3 linked regions of the Mytilus edulis genome follow. The protein of the gene in region 3 purifies or fractionates together with the protein of the main gene of each other region. This does not show direct contact. Links are inferred from orthologs where the notes say so. Each region holds a gene or a part of one and is shown on either strand. Other genes may lie near its edges.

Region 1 (8,370 bases), on a different chromosome or scaffold from region 3:
CTAAAGAGCCTGTGTTGCTCACCTTGGTCTATGTGAATATTAAAGGAAGCAGATGGATTCATGACAAAATTGTGTTTTGGTGATGGTGATGTGTTTGTACATCTTACTTTACTGAACATTCTTGCTGCTTAAAATTATCTCTATCTATAATGAACTTGGCCCATTAGTTTCAGTGGAAAATGTTAGTAAAAATTTACAAATTTTATGAAAATTGTTAAAAATTGACTATAAAGAACAATAACTCCTAAGGGGGTCAATTGACCATTTCGGTCATGTTGACTTATTTGTAAATCTTACTTTGCTGAACATTATTGTTGTTTACAGTTTATCTCTATCGATAATAATATTCAAGATAATGACCAAAAACAGCAAAATTTTCCTTAAAACTAACAATTCAGGGTCAGCAACCCAACAACGGGTTGTCCGATTCATCTAAAAATTTCATAGCAGATAAATGTTGACCTGATAAACAATTTTACCCCATGTCAGATTTGCTCCAAATGCTTTGGGTTTTGAGTTATAAGCCAAAAACTGCATTTTACCCCATGTTCTATTTTTAGCCATGGTGGCCATCTTGGTTTGATGGCCGGGTCACTGGACACATTTTTCAAACTACTAACCCAAAAGATGATTGTGGCCAAGTTTGGATTAATTTAGCCCAGTAGTTTCAGAGGAGAAGATTTTTGTAAAATATTACTAAGATTTACGAAAAATAGTTAAAAATTGACTATAAAGGGCAATAACTCCTAAAGGGGTCAACTGACCATTTCAGTCATGTTGACTTATTTGTAAATCTTACTTTGCTGAACATTATTGCTGTTTACTGTTTATCTCTATCTATAATAATATTCAAGATAATAACCAAAAACAACAAAATTTCCTTAAAATTACTAATTCAGGGGCAGCAACCCAACAACGGGTTATCCGATTCATCTGAAAATTTCAGGGCAGATAGATCTTCACCTGTTTAACAATTCTATTCCATGTCAGATTTGCTCTAAATACTTTGGTTTTTGAGTTATAAGCCAAAAACTGCATTTTACCCCTATGTTCTATTTTTAGCCATGGCGGCCATCTTGGATGGTTGGTCGGGTCACCGGACACATTTTTTAAACTAGATACCCCAATGATGATTGTGGCCAAGTTTGGTTTAATTTGGGCCAGTAGTTTCAGAGGAGAAGATTTTTGTAAAAGTTAACGACGACGCCGGACGCCGGACGCCAAGTGATGAGAAAAGCTCACTTGGCCTTTTAGGCCAGGTGAGCTAAAAACACATATATACTTTTCTTGGAATGATCTTCAATGCATTTTATGATTTAATTTAAAGATGGATTTAAGAAAGAAAAAAAAAAAAAAGACATTTAGCTTGTATAGTACCTATTGAGGGGATCTGCAACACTATTCAGTAGATAACTATACACTTGACTTTATGGTCCAGGCCTCTACAATAACTTTTTTTTCAACTTGTCCAGTAGGACAAGTACATTCCAAAACTTACTTGTAACTTGTCCAAAACAAATCTTAATATTAACCTTTTTTGCATTTCAAGTTGATTCAAGGAACAAAATGAATTACAAAAAAATTGAACAGAATTTGATTTATATCCTTTGAAATACTTTTAAAAGATATGAGCCATGAACAACTGAATTGAGTTGTGTCACAGGACTTAGGTTCTAGTTTTTATCAATGCTAAAGTCTCATCATACTTTGCACATGAGGCACCATCTGATTGGCCTCTAAATGTACACTCATTGGATTTTTATCCATTTTTTTAAAAGTTGAAAAAAGTTTATTCAAATGCAATCAATAAAAAGAATATGAGGCATGATTGTCAATTTGACACAAGACCAAATGACACAGAAATTAACACTTATAGGTCACTGCATTGCATTGGTATTGTTTTTTCTACATAAAGATCAAACATGATTTGATGATTTTTATGGTAAATAATTTCCTCATTCTTATTTAAAAAATACGTTATGGACATCGGTATTAATTATTATAGAGCAACAAAATAAGGTAGGAAAAGAAGTTCTGATTTGTCTTGGTCCAGAAATGTCTACTGCCTTGCCAAACTGTCTATTAATCATGTTTATGAAATATGTCTCCTACAGTGCCCAACTGTCTATTAAACTTGGAGCCGAATCATTTCCGAGCTGTTGACGAACTGTCTTTTAAAGTTACCTTATCTAAAATGCCCATGGTTGAATTGGATCTGTAAGACTGGTTTCCGAGAAAAGTGTGCTTTTTACCTGTTAAAAGTACTTGACAAAGAACCAGTTTAAATTATCGATTGCAAGTCTGAGGGGTCTAATTTTATTATTCGACTAAGAAATAAAAAGTTTCAATTAGTTTCAGTTTAAAAAGGAAAGATGTCAAACAAATCTTCTTTTCTTGTTTTTTTGTTAATAATTATACTTTGTTCATCAAAGTTGGATTAAAATTTATTTTCTGCAGAATGATTCTACTTGTCCCATCGGACAAGCTTGGTATAGCTTTTACCTGTCCGACCTTTTTTACCTCTGGTACCAGACAATCAGACAAGCGTTATTGTCGAGGCCTGTGGTCCTTATCAAATGAAGGTTGTTTACAAAAAAAATCGTGATCAAGTGTATAACTATGTACTGGTAGAATCCTCCGTTTTCAGAATCCATGTAAACTCCCTATCACTTTCAGCATTAATTGATATGTGTCACAACAATATTTACAAGGACAACCCCCACTCCAATACAACTTTTAGGGAGTGCTAGGACATTGGGAAGTCTGTTATTATGGTAGAGGAAGCCGAGAACTAGGAGAGAACCACTGCGACACTCAGCGGAAACAGAAAAATTTCTTTGCAAGTTGAGGGAGGTAATAAACAGATTTGTATCATTCACCAAAATGAGTTATAATAAGGTTAATAACAATCTGATCGACTTTAAGCTGGAACAACTTGAAATATATATATATATTATAAACCTATTTGGGTTACTCTGATACTGATAGGTTTACATGAAGTGCGACTCCATGGTATCATGTTAAATCATGGTGGCATTTCCACGTGAGCTTGCAGTTAAAAGTTTGTATTTACTTTTTTTTTCATTGATATGTGTGCTAGGTGCCGGTTTTCCAGTTAGTGTAAAACACGTGCAGACAAATTCAACAGAATTCGTTGTGGTTAACCATACTCATGGCATACAACTGGTTGTCTCTTCAACCTAATCTTACCTTTTTCTGATTTTCGGATGACATATTCCTACAGGCTACAGCGTTTTCCTATGTTTTCTCAATTATTGAAACCGAATTTTCTAGAGTCATTCGTACTTATCGGAACTCACTTAGCATTATCCATTAGTTTTTGTCGACTGATTCCCTGAAAAAGAAATTTCTTCGTACCGAGAAGAAGGAACAGTGACCAGTATATTTACCTCCCTTTGATATTCCGGAACGCCTTGGTAGTTTTCGTCAATAAAAACGACTTGCAGCTTTAATCTGTGATATGCGCATAAAAAATTAAAATAGATCATTTAAATGCGCATATTACATACACCTCTTGAACTAAGGGAGCTACCATTTGATTTTTATGGGGGGGCTAGGATGAAAAATTTTGTCCTGCATTTTTTTTTAGCTGTAATCTCTGTCCTGCCTTTTTATTTTTCACTCTGTTCGGTCCTGCCTTTTTTTTTTTAGTTTATTCTGACTTTTTTTTACCTAAATTGTCGTCCTGACTTTTTTTTTTTGCAAGTGTCTCATCCTGCCTTTTTTTTTTACTCAAAACTACTGTCCTGCCTATTTTTTTTCAAATTTCATAGCCCCCCAATAAAAATCAAATGGTAGCTCCCTAATGAAATCATAGAACAATAAACAATACAATACAATACAATACAATACAATACAATACAATACAATACTATAGTGTTATTAACTGGCTGTTTCTGTATTGGCACTGGTATAGATTCTCGGTCAGCTGTATTGGCCCTCGACCCCGTAGGGTCGAGGGCCAATACAGCTGACCGAGAATCTATACCAGTGCCAATACAGAAACAGCCAGTTCATAACACTTTTATTAAAGGCACTGGCTACGGTTACATGGAAATGTAACAATAATAAAAATATTATTGTTACATTGGAGACTAATTGCCGGAATGCAAAGTTGGGTGAGGAACCGATTAATTACAAATGTAACAATAATTACTGAGGCTACGGTTACATTACGTTATTGTTACATGAAACAGCAATGTACGCTAGATTGATTAAACTTAAATCTTCTATAGTTGTATTGCTTCATTCTTTCATATGTACTAAACAATACTAGTAATTTAATACTGATAAACAATAAAATATTATTTTTCAACAAATGGTGTACAACTTGAATAGTTTTACTACATATTAATGGTTTTGATGTTCTTAAAGATACTGCTCAAAATTAGGAGTGTGACTGTCAAAGGCGAAAAATATAGTTCAATGGTTTCACTTTTTTGAAGTATTTAACTGCACACCTACTCTTATTACTGTCATTATACTTTGGACCAATTTTGTTTATGGTGAAAAAAATAAAAGTTAGGATGCGTTTTAAACGAAACTGAAACAATATCAGGACATACATTTCATACAGCTTTATAACTTGACGCAAATTGATAATCAAAAGCAAAGTTTGCTTACTGTAACTTAAAAAAAATACTAAGAAATTATGTATGTACACGTATCCGTGGAGGACGTAATTTCGGTCATCAAAAATGTGTCGGACTTTAAAAACAACTTACTGGATTTGTAGAAATTGTCATTGTAAATAAAAAATTACAGTAAATAAATTGTATGTTATAAATGTATGTAATAAATGTCCTCAACTTTTATTATTTAGTACATATTACTAGTCCCATCGTACTTTGCTTTTTTTCATGTAACAATAACGCAATGTAACCGTAGCCTCAATAATTATTGTTACATTCGTAATTAAACAGGTCCTTACCCAACCATGCATTCCGGCATTTAGTCTCCAATGTAACAATAATATTTTTATTATTGTTACATTTCCATGTAACCGTAGCCAGTGCCTTTATTAAATGATTATAAGAGAATTAAAAACCGGAAGTGAACGTCCCGTATTAGCCCATGGGCCAATACAGCTTTTTTCCCGCTTTTTTCTGTAATTGCCCTGTTTTTTCCGTTTGAAAACATTAAGACATTACAAAACATTGCACATCATTTAACCTGTTTATTTTATTACTTTAATTTAAAAAATATTATACAAATGTTTTTATGCATAACGATACTTCAAGAGTAAAGTAATGGCGTAAGAAAATTGAAAACCGGAAGTGAACGTCCTGTATTAGCCCTAGGGCTAATACGACTTTTTTCCCGCTTTTTTCTGTATTGGCCCTGTTTTTTTCCGTATTGGCCCTGTTCGAAGAGCAATATTAACTCTTGATTTATATCGACAGTGGAACGTTTTTAGTATTGCACATGCTGATTTATCCGTATTAGGGCTTATTTGCTCATATCATTTAATAAAATACAATACAATACAATACAATACACAATACCAATACCAATACCAATACCAATATCAATATAATACCAATACAATACCAATACCAATATAATACCAATACAATTAATACAAATACAAATACAAATACAATACAATATAAAACCAATATCAATAAAACACCAATACCAATGTCACTGTCTACGTCACTGTTGATGCCAATCAATGTCAATGTCAATGCAATGTCAATTGGGATTGGGATTGGAATTGGAATTATAATTGAAATAAGAATTGGAATAGGAATAGGAATAGGAATAGGAATAGGAATAGGAATAGGAATAGGAATAGGAATAGGAATAGGAATAGGAATAGGAATAGGAAAAGGAATAGGAATAAGGAATAGCAATAGCAATAGCAATAGCAATAGCAATGGGAATGGGAGTGTGAATTGGAATAGGTATAGGAATTAGAATAGGAAACGAAATAGAAATAAGATGTCAACTGATTACAATATTCGAAGTCAATGTTGATGTCAATGTCAATGACAATTACAATGCAAATGACAATGTCAATACCAATAGGAATAGGAATAGGAATTAAAATATGACTATGATTAGGATTAGGAATATGAATATGAGAAGTAACAGCAATATAAATTGAAATAGGAATAGGAATTGGAATAGGAATAGGAATGGGAATGGGAATGGGAATGGGAATGGGAATGGTAATAGGAATAGGAATTAGGAATAGGAATAGGAATTAGGAATTAGGAATTAGGAATTAGGAGTAGGAATAGGAATAGGATTAGGAATAGGAAGAGGAATTATGAATAGGAATAGGAATAGGAATAGGACTAGGAATAGGAATTAGGAATAGGAATATGAGAAGTAACATGAATATAAATTGAAATTGGAATAGGAATTGGAATTGGAATAGGAAAAGGAATAGGAATAGGAATAGGATAGGAATTGGAATAGCAATAGCAATAGCAATAGCAATAGCAATAGCAATTGGAATAAAATTGAAATAACAATAGCAATAAGAATATGAATATGAATTCGAATTGAAATAGGAATACCGTATAGCGGGTTATTTTCGCGGGTGTGAATTTTCGCTTATTTTCGCGGAAAGAACCAAAATCACCAAAATAAATTCCGCCAATTTAAAAGTGCACAGGCTAAGATATTGATAACAAAAATTTGAGTCCGCTAAAATAATAACCGTCAAAATATTTCGAATACATTTTTCAATGAAAATCGCGAATTTTTACACCCGCGAAAATAACCCGCTATACGGTATGATTAGGAATTGGAAAAGGATAAGTAATAGGTAAATGAATTCGAATAGGAATAGAATAGGAAATTGAATTGGAATATGAATTTGAATAGGTAATGAATTCGAATTGTAATAGGATCAGCAGGCGCGGATCCAGAGGGGGGGGGGGGGGTCCGGGGGTTGGAACCCCCCTTTTTTTTGGCCGATGTATTTGAATGGGAGCATATAGCTGGACACCCCCCCCCCCCTTTTTACCCTGGGTTGGGAACCCCCTTTTTTAAAATGGCTGGATCCGCCCCTGATCAGGAATAGGAATAATAATAGGAATAGGATTAGGAATATGAATAGCATTAGGAATATGAATAGGATTAAGAATATGCATTTGAATATGAATTTGAATATGAATTGGAATTGGAATAGGAATTGGAATAAAAAGAGGAATAAGATTAGGAATAGGATTAGGATTAGGATTAGGATCACGGGATCAGGATCAGGATCAGGATCAGGATCAGGATCAGGATCAGGATCAGGATCAGGATCAGGATCAGGATCAGGATCAGGATCAGGATCAGGATCAGGATCAGGATCAGGATCAGGATCAGGATCAGGATCAGGATCAGGATTAGGAATAGGAATAGGAATAGGATTATTAATAGGAAAATGAATTGGAATAGGAATATGGTCGGGTATAGGAAAAGGAATAGGAATAAGATATGAATTGATAATGGAATTGAATTTGGAATTGAAATACTCTAACGCGAGAAAAGACCGAGGAAGTCATGTTTTTTTCAGATTTTTTTCTCTTCTGTTCAACAATTGGCAACCCCTGAATTACAGGCTCCTGACCTCGGACAGGCACCTACAAACACAATGTGGATGTTTTAAACTTGTTACCGGGATCCTAACCCTCCCCTAACCTGGGACAGTGGTGTAACAGTATAAAACAAAAACGAATAATAAAAATGAGTTGAAAAAGGCTTAAATCATTAGAAGGATACAAGTGTAGATACATCTATCAAAAACACAGAGTGGAAGTGGCCGGGTACCAAGACTCTTTCATTTTGCAATAGAATTAGTGCATTTGTCTTTTCTGCACTTTACACAAGTTTTCCCCATTCCAAACTAAAAGACAAATTGAAAGTATTGGTTCTGCTTTTATTCATAAAAAAGTATGACCAACGTAAATACAAGTATTTTGTCTTAGGGAGGGATAAATCATACTTTGAAAAAAAAACACTTTGATTCAAACAAACAATTGTCTGAAACTGACATCTAGATGCTTGATTTGAATGACAATATATTCATTACGTTTGTATGACATGTTTGTTTTTTAAAAACAAACAATCTGCATTTGCATGGGAACTTGCCGACTTGTTCCTTTATTCGTGTGAGACTGACTTAATACAGGAACTTCAGTTCTTATGAAGAACGAAAAGAAGTTAGCAGTACTTTCTGCTATAGCCTATGTAGATGATGTTCTATCACTAAATAGTAAGAAAAACACATTCAATTCCGTTCAATCTCTGCATCTAGTACTTATCTATCTGTACTTCTAACTAACTCCCTTACTACTATCAAAGAACTTGTTATTAACTTTTGTACATAGTCCCCTTATCAGTTAAAAA
Region 2 (8,450 bases), on a different chromosome or scaffold from region 3:
TTTATTTCAAAATTCATAATGTAATCTGTGTGTATTTGAGATAAGTGAGAAAATCAAAAACAATATGCATGAGTATCCAAAACAGATCTCACAAACTTACAAGGTTTGATGGGTAGGCAGACTAGGTAAATGTAGGCAAACATTTAATTCTTTGTCTTTACTTCTATATCTATTGTGTTTATGTTGTTATTACATGTATGTGTTGTAAATATCAAAGTTAATAGTCTTTGTTTGAAATAGGACTATAAATAATTGTAGATGAATATGAGAAAGGATTTGTGTGTCTTTTAGGTCTGAACTTACCCATTGTTATAGTGCTGTCTTCTTCATAAACAGTACTAGTACTATCATGTCCCTCGTCTTTCTTGGCTGGATCTAACGTACCATAATACAATGCCATACATAGTTCTATCAGTCTCTCAAACATTGGTAGTTGTGTATCAGTCAATGATACGTCTAAATGTTCACAAAACAGGTCAAACTTTGTTACACTCGCCCGCTTGGCATTAACAGAATCATATTTGGCGTACAACCTCCCTGTGACGGAGCACCTATAGATCAGTGGATCCTGGTAATGTTCTATCTTACCACTCTGGTCACATTTATCAAGGCACACCGTCAGATCACACAGGTTGATGGATTTCCTTAACACTAACTCAGGGGGAGATAACTCTATAAAGTCTCTGTCCCACTTCTCATCTGCGCTATATACCTCTGCTGATTTTATGTTTAAGGATAAAACAATGTCATCCTCGACAAACTTAACAATTAGATTATTGATGATGATGCTAACATTGTTGGCAATTTTATTCATCAAACTTTGTAAATATCCTGGTGGCAGATCTTCTTCACCCTGTTTCCTTGGTTTCAATGATGGCCTTGATTTTGACCGCCGTAAGTCAGACTTTGGTCCTTTGCTACTACCTTCATAAGGACTTTCTCTTAATTTCAGAATACATTCAATTGTGTTTATTGTTATCACAACAGGTTCAGATCCTAGTTTTGTCCACGGCACATGGATCCGTAACTCATGAATATGGCCACTTTTGAACACAATAGGGAGATGAATAGCCTTTTCTATGACATCCAAACGAAGGTCAAGATTATTGAGGACGACATCACCACCCCATAATGACAATTGAAAATCTTCAGGTCTAAGTTTGACATACTTGTCAACATAACCCATTAACAGGGGGCTGATGTAAGACTCTAACTTAAACATTGTTGTAACTAGAATCAAAACAAATTTATATTTTCTATGACCTTTGCCCTAGGTTATGACTTCTATCACCATTCCCTGTAACAATTGATGTAACTGTGTTGACAGCTTATCTTCCTATCAAGCAGCATTTTCAATGATTTAGTTCATGTATTATGTGTTGAGGAGCATTCGTCCTTTTCTTACAAAATATCTGCAAAAGAAAAAGAAAAAACACACTTTTTTAATATTTACTTAAAATTATATGGTAATTTTGAATTTCATAAATACACATTTGTTATAGTTTTTCCAAAGCAACCTAGGCATCAGGATAGTATACAGAATACTTTTATTACTCAAACAAACCTTGATATTTTATCAAAACTAATCTATACATGTATGACATGATGTGGAAAGGCACACATACATGTAATAATAATATTTTTGTCCACACATTTTTTTGTATACAGGGAGTATATTTTATCATTCATATGTTTTATTACATGGCAATCTATATTTTTAAAACAATATGACTTATTGCAGACATTGCACATACATGTACATGTATGCAACCGTTTAATAGTTCTGAGTTAGGGATTTAAATCTCTGTTTTGGACTCATCTTTTGCAATATCTTTCTATATTTATAACTGAAATCCCTATTGATCCAACATTTTAATGCTTAGACTTGAATATTTTTCATATAATAGGTGCCTGATCAACATAAAATATGGGACAACTTGGAGCCTGTTAACTTCAACTATCAATTAATGAGAAATATATACTATTGAATTTAAAAGATTTTACAGTGTAATGACTTTGAGTGTTAAAATTAAAATACACACCTATAGGAGATGATCATTTAATATTCTGGGGATTTCCTGCAGATTGACAATTTATATTCATCAATAATTTGCTAAGAAGACCCCTCCCCCTCAATAAAATGTATTCCCTTATTTTTATTGAAAGGTTACATACATTTGTATTATAATTTTAAGACTAGGCACCTGGTGTTCGTTGATTGTATGTATGTATGTACTGGTAAATGTCTCTGTTATCCGAAGAACCCTACCGAAAGCTTTAAGGATACAGTGCCATCTATGTACACTCCCTATCAGGATTACTGGAGATGTGTCACTAACGTCTATTTATACAACATTTATTTTAACAAGGACAATCAATCACCACCCAACACAAAGGGAGTGATAGGACACCGGTTAATCTGTAATTATGGTGGAGGAAGCCGAAGTACTCAGGTGGAAACAGACAAACCAGAAATATCAGAAGATTGATCTCCAGGTCAAAATAGGGGACAACTTTGACCAACCGAGGCCTTAAAGTACCCATTCTAGTTTAAACTCCGGTCTGGGTGAAAAATACCCTTCTGATGTAAAAAATGTACTGAAACTTTTAGCACCCCGAGTGAGAAATGAACTCGGACCTTCAGCACTGTAGCCATCAGTCTAAACCACTAGACCACGAACCAACATTGGTTATTGTTTGTTGATGTGATTAATAAGTGTTTCTTGGCTTTTTTTTTTTATAAATAAGACTTGGTTTTCCAGTTTGAATGGTTTTACACTAGTCATTTTTAAGGCCTTTTATAGCTTGCTGTTCGGTGTGAGCCAAGGCTCTGTGTTGAAGACTGTACTTCAACTTATGATTGTGACTTGGATAGCGAATTATCTCATCAGCACTCAGTCCAAATAATTATGACGTCTTGAAAGGCTATTATAATTTTTTCTTTGACGCCTTACTTCGACTAAACCCGTCAAAGAAAAAAATTATAATAGCCTTTCAAGACGTCATAATTATTTGGACTAATCAGCACTCATACAACATCTTATTAAGACTTTAGCCAATCTACTCTCTCAAGGCGTTATCAGGGCTCTGTCACCTTTACTGTATATCTACAACTTTCTCATACATATATAATTATATACATAACATTTGTACAGATGGATAAATTGTATTTGTATATTAAAGCGGGAAACTAATCCTTAAAAAGTTGATGGTATTCAGTAACTTAAGAAGAAGAAGAAGAAGAGGATGTTTTTGCTTTGAAGTTCAAAGAAGCAAAAACATCCTCCAAATATATATTTTTTTGAAGGCAGTTTAACTTTTAAATCAGTTATCATAGGTATGTTAGTCAATATAAAAAATATGTATAAATAGACGTATTGTTCATGTCAGTAAAATTGAGCTTCTGAATTTCTAACCCTTTTTGTTAATAAGTAAAACTGTATATTTACAGACGACCTGCCAACTCGACGATATACAACTTTTCCGAATGGTACATTCTTCGAAAAGATCCGAAATTTCCGCAACAGGATGTAGCGCGCGTAAAGGTGAAGCGAGTAGTTCTGGCTTGCTATAAAATGTGGACCAGTCGAACGTTAGGGTGAGTTTAAATATATATTTTATTTGCAAAACTAAAGTAGCAAAAGGGATTTGACACAAGTTATAACAACATACGTGATGTCCGCCCTAGGTTAGATCTAAGAGTGGAATACTCTTTATTCTTGGCAAGATTATTATATAAAAATAAACGTATTCTTAATTTCCAATAAACATTGATTTTATATAATACTATAATTATACCTTTTCTGGAATCATATGATTACTTTATTCTAAACATCGTTCATTTCTGTACAACGGTGTGCAAACAAAAATTAAATTAGAAGGACAATTCTTGCGTACTTTCCCAGAACTGCACTCGGGAATCGAGAAAAGGTGGTAAATGGTCCCCTGCTGATTTTTGTTGATTTTTTTTGTTGAAAATTTATGAAACTGAATGAACCGTGACAATTACTCATTATTAGGCGCACGTATAAGCTCAGTATTTGTTCATTGCAGCAGATGACGGAACCTTTATTTTGAAGGCACTGGCTACGGTTACATGGAAATGTAACAATAATAAAAATATTATTGTTACATTGGAGACTAAATGCCGGAATGCATGGTTGGGTAAGGACCTGTTTAATTACGAATGTAACAATAATTATTGAGGCTACGGTTACATTGCGTTATTGTTACATGAAAAAAATCAATGTACGATGGGACTAGTAATATATACTAAATAATAAAAGTTGAGGACATTTATTACATACCTTTATAACATACAATTTATTTACTGTAATTTTTTTTTATTTACAATGACAATTAATTATTTATACAAATCCAGTAAGTTGTATTTAAAGTCCGACACATTTCTACAAATCCAGTAAGTTGTATTTAAAGTCCGACACATTTCTACAAATCCAGTAAGTTGTATTTAAAGTCCGACAACTATTCAAGTTGTACACCATTTGTTGAATAATAATATTTTATTATTAATCAGTATTAAATTACGTACATTTTTGATGAACGAAATTACGTCCTCCACGGATACGTGTGCATACATAATTTCTTAGTATTTAAGTTACAGTTAGCAAACTTTGCTTTTGATTACCAATTTGCGTCAAGTTATAAAGCTGTATGAAAAGGATGTCTTGATATTGTTTCAGTTTCGTTTAAAACGCATCCCAAGTTTTATTTTTTTTCACCATACACAAAATTGGTCCAAAGTATAATGACAGTAATAAGAGTAGGTGTGCAGTTAAATACTTTAAAAAAGTGAAACCGTTGAACTATATTTTTCGCCTTTGACAGTCACACTCCTAATTTTGAGTAGTATCTTTAAGAACATCAAAACCATTAATACGTAGTAAAACTATTCAAGTTGTACACCATTTGTTGAATAATAATATTTTATTATTTATCAGTATTAAATTACGTACATATGAAAGAATGAAGCAATACAACTATAGAAGATTTAAGTTTAATCAATCTAGCGTACATTGCTGTTTTTCATGTAACAATAACGTAATGTAACCGTAGCCTCAGTAATTATTGTTACATTTGTAATTAATCGGTTCCTCACCCAACTTTGCATTCCGGCAATTAGTCTCCAATGTAACAATAATATTTTTATTATTGTTACATTTCCATGTAACCGTAGCCAGTGCCTATTTTGAATGATCTGATGAAACTTAAGTTTAAAACACATATTTCTTTGGGTCCTACTAAAATGCGCCCGGGAGCGCCCGGGAGAAGAAAAAGCGCCCGAGGAAAAGAAAAAGCGCCCGGGGAAGACAAAATAGTGCCAGGGGAAAAGAAAAGGCACCCGGGGAAAATATATAAATATTTTATTGGAATGAGACAACTTTGTCATGTTTGTGTCGATGAAATAAGTTATGCACATTGATTTGTTTTTAATTTTAGACAAGTAATTTGCAATTTCAGATAATAGACATTTGTAGTAAAGCACAAAAACAATTATGAATGTTTCAATTTTAACAATACTGAATATATGAATACTATTTCGAAAGACAGATAATAATGGATCACAGTTTATGCGGAAGATTTATAAAATGTAATGTAACGTTTTTCGTTTATTACATGCATCATTGGGTTTTATTATCATGGTATAATTAGATTACTTATTCTAATTAACTGTTATAAAGTAATTCCTTACACATGTTACAATCTATGTGTATCGCCTTCAATCAGATTGTACTTGTTAAATGTCAAATCAATCATGTTAATCAGCTGGTGCCCCTTTGCTAAGTTGATGCAGGTGTCTCAGTTGACCTCAGTTTCGATTGACCTTAGCTCCGGGCTCCGGGCTCCGGGCTCCGGGCTCCGGGCTCCGGGCTCCTGTAATTTAGCTCCTGTAGAATATTTCTTTGTTCAGAGTCATTTAACCATATTGTAATCAGGTTATTAGAGTAGTATAAAAGAGAGAAATAGTTGTAGATACGAGATACGATATACGAGGAGAGACGATTTTGTGTACGAGAGGTGCATATGTAGGAGATTTAGGATTATACCACCGTATTGTTGAGCCTGCAGTTTAGATGTTGTAAACTTGTATTACTGTTACATGTACTTTGGATTTTGAATAATACAGTATTGAACTTTAATCGACTTTGTGTTTATGTTAACTTGCAAGACTTCGTTCAGACTACACCAGGATCCATTTATTTATTTATGTGACCAGGATTCCCTTAATCACGCTACCAGAGATTTTTTAGGGTTACACTGTTAAAGAGTATACTTGGCATTTGTCGTCTGTGGACGTGTGAAACGTAGACACCAAACAACAAAGCACAAACACAAGAATACACACTTTAGTTTAAGTCCCCATACTTAAACACTTTTTCGTCACAGTAACTTCAAAAGACACGTTTCTGAAAAACGATATCAAAATGAAAAATGTAAAAAACAACTTAAATTTCAAAGATAAATATTAATTTAATCAAAATTAAAAGAGTTACACATAATGAATCAGCAAATAAAGCAGTACTATACATGTACCGTAGTTAAATCAAGGGGTAAAAAGCAGGAGCTTTGGTTTAAATTTTAAAAAACTATAGCATTAAAATCCTAATAAGCATAGCCATTCGGAAACAGTTTTAGTTTTATAAAAAGATAAATCTAGATCAACATTTGCATAAAAAAAGTGTTCACCATGCAGTTGCGAAAATATTAGACATCAGACACTGATTATTTACAAAACAAGTGAATGATTATTTTTTTTATTTGTTATAAAATATTATCATTTTATTCTCCCGGGCGCTAATTTTCCTTCCCCAGGCGCTTTTTCTCTCCCCCCCCCCCCCCGGGCGCATTTTCTTTTCCCGGGCGCTATCGGGCGCGTTTTAGTAGGACCGATTTCTTTAAATTCGTATTTCGTCTGCTTGGCATGTAAGATCACGTAACTTCTAGTTTAGTGCTTTGCTTATTTGTTCTATGCTTTTATGTATAAACATTTTGCATACATTACAATAAAGCTTTCTTACTTAGCATGTCTATATAAAATTGAGAAGGAGAATAGTAACGGGAATGTTAATTTTGTGTATGTTTTATATCCGTATTCTATTCTATAATATTTCAATCTAGTCTTTTCCACATTATACTCTATTCTATTTTAGTCTAGTCTATTCTAGTTTAGTATGTTCTATTCTATGAATTTCATTCTATTCCCGTTCTAACTTCTAGAAATCGCGAGATCGGCTTCAATTTTTGGTGGAGTGTAACTAGTGTGTCTGCAAGATCAATCTGGTCTCTGAATTACATTTCAATTTTTTGCATGAATATAATTGACATATTCAGTTATCTATCATACATGTTTACACTGCAGTGTAGGGTTTGGAGCTTTCATACATTTTTATTCATGCCTTCGATTTGTAAACTGCAGTGGGGTTTTATAGTTTCAATGTGAACACTTCGTTAGTGCTTTAGAGTTTCGATGTGTACAATGCAGCAGGGTTTTAAAGTTTCAATACATAATGTTTCATCATTCTATCGCCATGTATACTTCAGTGGAAATTTTAGAGTTTCAATGCATGTTTTTTATGGGCTTTTTTAAATCATTCCATGTGTATACTGCAGGTTATTTTTCGAATTTCAATACATCATTATTCATTGATTGTGTGCACTAAATTGATTTTTTATTAAAGTTTCCATATCATTACACTGCAATGATGTTGAAGAGTTTCCATGTATAAGGGAGCACCCATTTAACTATTAAAAGTGGGGTTATGGTTTATTTTTAGTCAAAAACTTGAAATTATTTTGTTTTTTCACCTCTTTCAATCAAATTATTTTGTTCGGCAAAATTTAATATTATAATCTATGGGGGAAAATCTGGATTCAGAAATTTTTTTCATCAATTTGGGCATTGGAATGTTTTTATAGGAATCAAAAACCACATCCCAAAACCCCTTGAAGTTAAATGTTAGTTCCTTAAACTACTAAACTTTGGGTTTGAGGGTTTCCATGAGTACACTGCTTTGCTGGTATGTTTAGAGTTTCCATGTGAACAATACATTAGGATTTTTAGGATTTCCATGTGTACACTGCAGAGCCTTTTTAAGTGTGATTTTTTTTAATTTTCTATGTGTACACTGCAGTTGAATTTTTAAATTTTCCATGCGTACATGGCATTCGGTTTTGGGGTCACCATGTGTAAACTAAGTATGATTTAATGAGTTTCCATGTGGACTGCAGTGGGATTTTTAGGATTTCTATTTGTAGAATGCATTGGGATTTTTATGTTTTTCATGTGTACACTACAGTGGGATTTGAACGGTTGCCATGCGTACATTGCAGTGTGGTTTTAAAGGTTTCAATGTTTTTTTTAATTTTCCGATTATTCACTAGACAGACTAAGTACTGCAGTTTTATTTATATAGTTTCGATGTGTTGAC
Region 3 (7,872 bases):
TCGTCATTATTGAACTTGACCTCTAATTTGCCATCAGTAACAACATATAAAAATTTCAAAAGCTTTGGTTGAATGGTTCATGAGAAAATGCACGGACACGACTGGAAACACCATTTTTCAATCTTTCAAGAACCATAACTCCTGAACGGTAAAAGTCAAAATCGTCATTATTGAACTTGACCTCTATTTTGTCATCAGTAACAACATATTAAAATTTGGGAAGCTTTGGTAAAACAGTTCATGCGTAAATGCACGAACACGACTGGAAACACCATTTTTCAATCTTTCAAGAACCATAACTCCTGAACGGTAAAAGTCAAAATCGTCATTATTAAACTTGACCTCCATTTTGTCATCAGTAACAACATATTAAAATTTGGGAAGCTTAGGTAGAACAGTTCATGCGTAAATGCACAGACACGACTGGAAACTCCATTTTTCAATCTTTCAAGAACCATAACTCCTGAACGGTAAAAGTCAAAATCGCCATTATTGGACTTGATCTCCATTTTGTCATCAGTAACAACATATTAAAATTTGGAAAGCTTAGGAAGAACAGTTCATGCGTAAATGCAGGGACACGACTGGAAACTCCATTTTTCAATCTTTCAAGAACCATAACTCCTGAACGGTAAAAGTCAAAATCACCATTATTGAACTTGACCTTCATTTAGTTGTCAGTAACAACATATTAAAATTTTAAAAGCTTTGGTTGAACGGTTCATGAGTTAATGCACGGACAACATTTGATTCCCACCCGCCCGCCCGACCGACCGCCCGCCCGACCGCCCGCCCGCCGTACATCCCCAAATCAATAACCGACATTTTTGTCACAAAAATCCGGTTAAAAAGGGCAATTTTACGCGTAAATTTATATCATTGAAAAAAGGGAATTATTTAAGCCTCATAATTAATTAGCACATAATTTTTATTATGCATTATTGAAACATCAAGTTTCAGTTAAAATGGAGTTGTGTAATTTAATTCTTTTGGCACAATTTTCTTTTTAGTAGACTTTATTAACGTACGGTTATGATGTTCAGACCCTCTTTCGGCCATATAATGTATAGTATGCTGTCTTGTTGTTTTCTATCTTGTCTTGTTGTTGCTGTCACTACAGCAGTCTGACCATTAAATGATTTTCTTATTTGGAATTCAAAAATTTGTAAACAAGTTAAAATTTTATGAATAAATTATCCCTACCTGACATATGTCCGTTAGGATTATCTCTGACATCTGACAGTCAGGTAGGTTTTTAATTTATGAAATTAAAATTTAAAAATTTGTAAACAAGTTAAAATTTTATAAATAAATTATACCTACCTGACATATGTCAGAGATAATCCTAACAGAAATATGTCAGGTAGGTTTTTAATTTATGAAATTAAAATTCTTCATTGCACTTGCAGTCTGCACCATAAACTTTTTCAACTACTAGTCCAAAGACCAATGTTTCGACATTTTTCTTATTGGTCCAAACAAAGTTTTGCAAAAACTTACTAGTCTGAATGAAATTTTACTAGTCTGGGGCATTGGACTAGTGACTAACCGTGAAGACTGCACTTGATAGATCAATTAATGGAAGTAAAGATGCAAAATATAATTTTCAAAATATTTATTTTTAAAGTGTATTCAATTGAAAATAATTTAAATTATTATTCTAATTATATGCATTTGCATTCAATTTGTTTAATATTTAATCTTTTACTTAAAGAAACATAAATTTAAATAATATATTGTGAACAGGTGATAAATAAATAAATAAATCAAATTGTTTGTCAAACTTTTTTGAAATACACCAATTATTCATGACCAAAAGCTAAGGTAATTGGTGTTAATTAAACAATGTGTTTGACACCAAAGCCGTCAGGTAAAGCCATACACTTAATGGGTCACTTAATTTGACAGCTTACACAGGTAGCTGAACTTCCTGTTCATGGAACAATTACGAAGTTACCGGTATTTTAAAGGCAGGAAAATGCTGATTTTTTGGTGATAAAAACGACAGGGCGCTCGAGGAATGACAGAAAAAAGGCAAGGGCGTCAATAAAAAAGGGTGGGCGCTGCGCCCTGTTCAAACTTTGTAGCTAGAACACTGCCTTTCTTAATAATCTGACAGAGGGCTTTCAGCAAATTTTCAACAGTTCTGATATTCAACATGTTCTAAAATCTCTTCAAATCATAAACTGTTTATCAAGTTTTTTAATAAATTTTTAGGTTTCGAGCATCACTTCAGACACACAAACAGGAGACATAACATCCAGTGCCAAATAGCTCATGCATTATTAATACACCTTATCATTATTTCTGGCTCACCTGAGAATCTGTCCATCTTGAACTATTGATGTCATACAATAATCACTTTTCCATTGTGGCGTCAGATATTGTGTAGTATGACGTCAAAATTTTACCGGAACCTGTGTAATGTCCAGAATGTATTGCTATTTGTCCGCCGTTACTGGATATCACAAAGGTTCCCGTAAAATTTTGACGTCATAAAACAAAATATCTGAAGCCCCAATGGAAAAGTGATTGTTGTATGCGTCAAAAGTTCAAGCGACCGGGTCAGCCAGGATTAGCGATAATGTGTATAGCATACAAATGGCACTGATATTTGTCCACCGTTACTGCCAATACTGGACATCACAAAAGTTCTTGAAAATTTTACGTCATACTAGAAAATATCTGATGCCACAATGGAAAAGTTATTGTTGTTAGGACATCAAAAATTCTAGTGGGGCTTCAGGTCAAGCGGGACAGGTTTTGTATTGTAGTAAAAAAACTTTTTGTAACTAAAATCAATAAGAATAAACAATAAATAGTTTATTTAAATTGGCATTTGATAAACCCAATCATTTTCCCCATTTTTTCCAACACCAACAGTCCAACCTCCCCCTTTTAACGTAGTAGTCTAAAAATAAATTAAAGATTTCCAGAAAGTTCTATTTGGGGATTCCCGGTGTTCCATGACGTCATTTGTTTCTGGAAAAGCGAAGCAAGTTCTTTAATTCTAGCATTTATTTATAATCTTTGAATGAAGTACTTAACACATGCTAAATAATTGAACATTATATAGGTTTAAATATACTTTACATTGTAAAAAGGAAGAAATATATCCAATTCACCATAAACGAAAGGGCTTTTTCGGAAAACACGCTCCGACATTTTTGGGGAACACCGTCAAAATATCTGAGATAAGACAAGTTGTTGCTAACCTAATTGAAAGAATCAAATAAAAAATTATTTCTTAACACGTGTATAGTCAATTTTTTATACCTATCTTCTGTTAAATCAACTACTTCGTCTTCAGTTGGTTGAGGGTCAACTTCCATCGTATCCACGTCCGTCATGATTGTTGTTGGTCTCGTGAGATTTGTGAACAAACTGGTTACTTTTTATTTGTTTGTATTCCCGTCTGTATTAGGTAGCAAGAAAGGCTGATTCAATACAGGGAACGAGCTTCTGTGACTACCTCAGTCAAGTGTTTTTATACAGGTGAGATTTGATATGTCAGTTATAATCTAAATATACAGCGAGGGAAAAAAATGCAGAGAAAACGTAAATTTCACGATAACGATTCTTACAAAGAAAAACAGGAAGATGAAGATAAATTGAAACGCGCAGTAAAAGACGGTGACGAAACAGCTGTAAGAAGGCTAGTGAAGGGAGGCGTTCTTGCTATTCGACAGCAAAAACTCTGGGTAACGCTCCTCAAACTTTCAGTCTTTTCAAATAAAATTCAATACTTTACTCTGTTACTTACATGTACTACCTAGTATAATTTTACGATTGGTGCAACTCACTCAGAAGTTGTGCGACAAGTCGGCCTGGAGTCTACATGAAAAGAAAACTCGGACCATTAAAGATATAATGACCAGCTCAGACTAAATATTACAAAAAAAATGTAATTAGAGTTTTGACAAGATGAATTATAGTTAACCCGTACCAAAGTAAACTCGTACCAACGTCAACTCGTACCACTAAAATAAACCTCGTACCAATGTAAACTCGTACCACTGCTAACTCGTACCAACTTATTTTAAAATGCATTTGATTGGTGTTTAATTATGAATAAAGTCTGTAAAATGTATATAATTTGAAAGTACAATGACCTATCTGTAGCTAATGTTCCATGTGTATTAGATATAGACAATACCTTGGCAGATTTGATTTGATGTCTCCCTTGAATCATTCTTTTTTAAACTTATACTGATAACCATTGGATTTAATTTTTAATCATTCCAAATCAGTTACATTGAATAGATTTGGATACTTTTCTTTTGTTTCTCAAAGGAATTTTATTCACCGAAAGAATTAATTTAGTGTGCTTTAAAGGTTGTAAATTGTTTATGACCAACATGTTAAAAGTATGAATTTTTTTATATATAATATTTTGCACAAGATAATGATTACCGATAGTGGTAGGGTTGCTTAGCCAGTCAAGGTCGTTAATTACTTCTATGTATTTAATGTTATCAAAATATGACAACTTCTTTTAAGATTTGAAGTAATGTCATGTTCATTTAATGTGTGAGATATGCATTGCTTTGATAAAGAGTAGTGACACCTTCAGAGGAAAGTAAATGATACCTGAAATCATCCTCAGATTAGTCTTTCGTTTGCTATGGTGTCACGGTCTTGTGTGCTATTATTTATTAGCCATGGCGTTTATTTCTTTTTATGAGTTTGACTGTCCATCCATGGTTCTAATGGTATTGTGAATAGCCAGTAGACGTAATGGTAGTGTTGGCAACTTGGCAGCATAATATTTTAAGTTTATTTCTATTTACGAGTTATGAGTTTGACTGTCCATCTATATTGTGAATAATGGTATTGTGAATGGCCAGTAGGCTTAATGGTAGTACTGGCAGAATAACAAAGAATATATATTTTATTTTGATGCTTTATTTACCACAATTTCAATAACAATCATCTATAAAAAATTAACAAAACATCAAATATTATTATTTTTTTCTCTCAAGAGATACACATACACCTTATGTTTTATTCACATCTATATCATCCTTTTACATTTAAGATTTCACATGGTATTACATTAATACAATAATGTTTTCAAAGATAACTGGCACTATTGTTACATATAGAAAAATAAACATTCAAGAAGCACTAATGGTCGCACTAATAGTCCATGTTCACTATAATCACATAATCAAAGGACTGTATTAATTTGATCACACAATCAAAGGAATATCATATATTTTAATTAGCAGGGCATTAAAATCCAGTATAAAATTACAGTAATTCAACTTTTTTTATTAATTTTAGAAAGAAGAAACACCACAAAAGATTCGTATTTTTTAATATATTTTTAATGGTACGACTTCCCAGTGGTACGACTTTACGTTGGTACGAGTTAACTTTTTTGGTACGAGTTAACATGGTACGAGTTTCCGTTGGTACGAGTTAACTTGCTTCCGACAAGATAAATAACTTCTCTCATAGTTCAGTCAAACTATGTTTTACTCTTAAACTATATGCAGAAGAAAATGTTTTAGTTCTAATCTATAGCATTATTAGTTCACCTGGCCTAAAAGGCCATGTGAGCTTTTCTCATCACTTGGCGTCCGTCGTCGTCGTCGTTAACAATTTTTCAAACATCTTCTCCTCTGAAACTACTGAATGGATTTGAATGAAACTTAACATGATTGTTCCTTAGTATATCCTGCACAAAATGTGCGCTTCGATTTTTTGATCCGTCAAAAAACATGGCCGCCGTTACTTAAAATAGAATATAGGGGTCAAATGCAGTTTTTGGCTTATATCCTAAAAAACGAAAGCATTAAGAGCAAATCTGACAGGGAGTAAAAATGTTCATTAGGTCAATATCTATCAGCCCTGAAATTTTCAGATGAATCAAACATCCAATTGTTGGGTTGCTGCCCTTAATTGGTAATTTTAAGGAAATTTTGCAGTTTTTGGTCATTATCTTGAATATTATTATAGATAAAGATAAACTGTAAACAGCAAAAAAGATCAGCAAAGTAAGATCTACAAATAAGTTCATATGACCAAAATTGTCAATTGACCCCTTAAGGGGTTATTGTCCTTTCATGACAATTTTTCACAATTTGTTTATCATATTTGCTAACTTTAAAAAATCTTCTCCTCTGAAACTACTGAATGGATTTGGTTAAAACTTAGCATGGTTGTTCCTTAGATTATCCTGCACAAAGTGTGTGCTTTGATTTTTGATCCGTCAAAAAACATGGCCGCCGTTACTTAAAATAGAACATAGGGGTCAAATGCAGTTTTTGGCTTATATCTCAAAAACGAAAGCATTAAGAGCAAATCTAACATGGAGTAAAAATGTTCATTAGGTCAATATCTATTAGCCCTGAAATTTTCAGATGAATCAAACATCCAATTGTTGGGTTGCTGCCACTTAATTGGTAATTTTAAGGAAATTTTGCAGTTTTTGGTCATTATCTTGAATATTATTATAGATAAAGATAAACTGTAAACAGCAAAGTAAGATCTACAAATAAGTTAATATGACCAAAATTGTCAATTGACCCCTTAAGGGGTTATTGTCCTTTAATGACAATTTTTCACAATTTGTTCATCATATTTGCTAACTTTAAAAAATCTTCTCCTCTGAAACTACTGAATGGATTTGGTTAAAACTTAGCATGGTTGTTCCTTAGATTATCCTGCACAAAGTGTGTGCTTTGATTTTTGATCCGTCAAAAAACATGGCCGCCGTTACTTAAAATAAAACATAGGGGTCAAATGCAGTTTTTGGCTTATATCTCAAAAACGAAAGCATTAAGAGCAAATCTGACAGGGAGTAAAAATGTTCATTAGGTCAATATCTATTAGCCCTGAAATTTTCAGATGAATCAAACATCCAATTGTTGGGTTGCTGCCACTTAATTGGTAATTTTAAGGAAATTTTGCAGTTTTTGGTCATTATCTTGAATATTATTATAGATAAAGATAAACTGTAAACAGCAAATATGATCAGCAATGTAAGATCTACAAATAAGTCAATTTGACCAAAATTGTCAATTGACCTCTTTAGGAGTTATTGCCCTTTAAAGACTTTTTTCACAATTTGTTCATCATGTTGACTTACTTTAAAAAATCTTCTCTTATGAAACTGCTGTATCAATTTCAGCCAAACTTAGGCTAAATGAGTTTCAGAGTTTCAGAGTATCTAGTATAAATTTTATATTTCATTTCCTTGTATGTCAAGAAACATAGCTCCTATGGCTAAAATAGAACATAGGAGAAAATGATTTTTTTTTGCTTTTGAAGAAAATAGGACGATTTAAAGAACATTTAAATAAATTGAAAAGCCAAAATAATCATTGATGAGAGATTAAACCAAAAAAATTCAGGTGAGCGATTCAGGCTCTTGAGAGCCTCTTGTTAAAACCCTAACTATACACAGAAAAAGGACCCAAAAAATCTAACTTGAGGAAAAATCCAAATCAGCATTTTGTATATATGGAAATTAACATTGGAAGGGGAGATACATTTGTAACTTCTCAAAAATGAGTCTTTTTTGTTGTTGCTTGATTTTCTTAAAATTTATGTAAAGTATGATACTTTGATCATTGTTGATGGGGTTATAAGTTCGTATAGTCTTCTGCTCACAAATCCGAAGTGTTATGGGTATATTTAAAAAAAATATGCATTTTTCATTAAAGAAATTGCAAATTTAGGCTTTGTGACTGTATTGAAAAAATAATGTGACAATTTGATATTGCTTAATACATCTGTATATTATATTTGTTCAGCATCTACCTTTTTTAAAGAAACTTTAAACCACAAAAAGAAGATTATATGCTTAATTATTTTTTTTAAATTAGATTCTTCACCTTGACATGTTGAAAAATTCAATAAATG

What was found. The genes of interacting proteins can lie anywhere in the genome.
Region 1: the proteins of dnaJ homolog subfamily C member 7-like (region 3) and stress-induced-phosphoprotein 1-like purify together in Homo sapiens (affinity purification with mass spectrometry; 4 studies listed by BioGRID and IntAct, with this or other methods). This does not show direct contact. The link is inferred for Mytilus edulis from reciprocal best matches to the Homo sapiens genes DNAJC7 and STIP1.
Region 2: the proteins of dnaJ homolog subfamily C member 7-like (region 3) and intermembrane lipid transfer protein VPS13B-like purify together in Homo sapiens (co-immunoprecipitation; 3 studies listed by BioGRID and IntAct, counting the BioPlex papers as one, with this or other methods). This does not show direct contact. The link is inferred for Mytilus edulis from reciprocal best matches to the Homo sapiens genes DNAJC7 and VPS13B.

The regions. Positions count from the first base shown.
Region 1 is NC_092346.1:83,737,965-83,746,334, forward strand, and holds the start of stress-induced-phosphoprotein 1-like, read right to left. Parts: upstream 3,490-8,370; 5' UTR 3,235-3,489; coding exon 3,211-3,234; intron 1-3,210. Other genes in the region: putative per-hexamer repeat protein 5, read left to right, coding at 5,662-5,927, 7,166-7,409. UniProt on the Homo sapiens protein: Acts as a co-chaperone for HSP90AA1. Mediates the association of the molecular chaperones HSPA8/HSC70 and HSP90.
Region 2 is NC_092355.1:81,121,856-81,130,305, reverse strand, and holds the start of intermembrane lipid transfer protein VPS13B-like, read right to left. Parts: upstream 3,490-8,450; 5' UTR 3,417-3,489; intron 1,413-3,416; 5' UTR 1,223-1,412; coding exon 304-1,222; intron 1-303. UniProt on the Homo sapiens protein: Mediates the transfer of lipids between membranes at organelle contact sites. Binds phosphatidylinositol 3-phosphate. Functions as a tethering factor in the slow endocytic recycling pathway, to assist traffic between early and recycling endosomes.
Region 3 is NC_092357.1:50,581,101-50,588,972, forward strand, and holds the start of dnaJ homolog subfamily C member 7-like, read right to left. Parts: upstream 3,386-7,872; 5' UTR 3,351-3,385; coding exon 3,277-3,350; intron 1-3,276. Other genes in the region: putative ankyrin repeat protein RF_0381, read left to right, coding at 3,546-3,701. UniProt on the Homo sapiens protein: Acts as a co-chaperone regulating the molecular chaperones HSP70 and HSP90 in folding of steroid receptors, such as the glucocorticoid receptor and the progesterone receptor.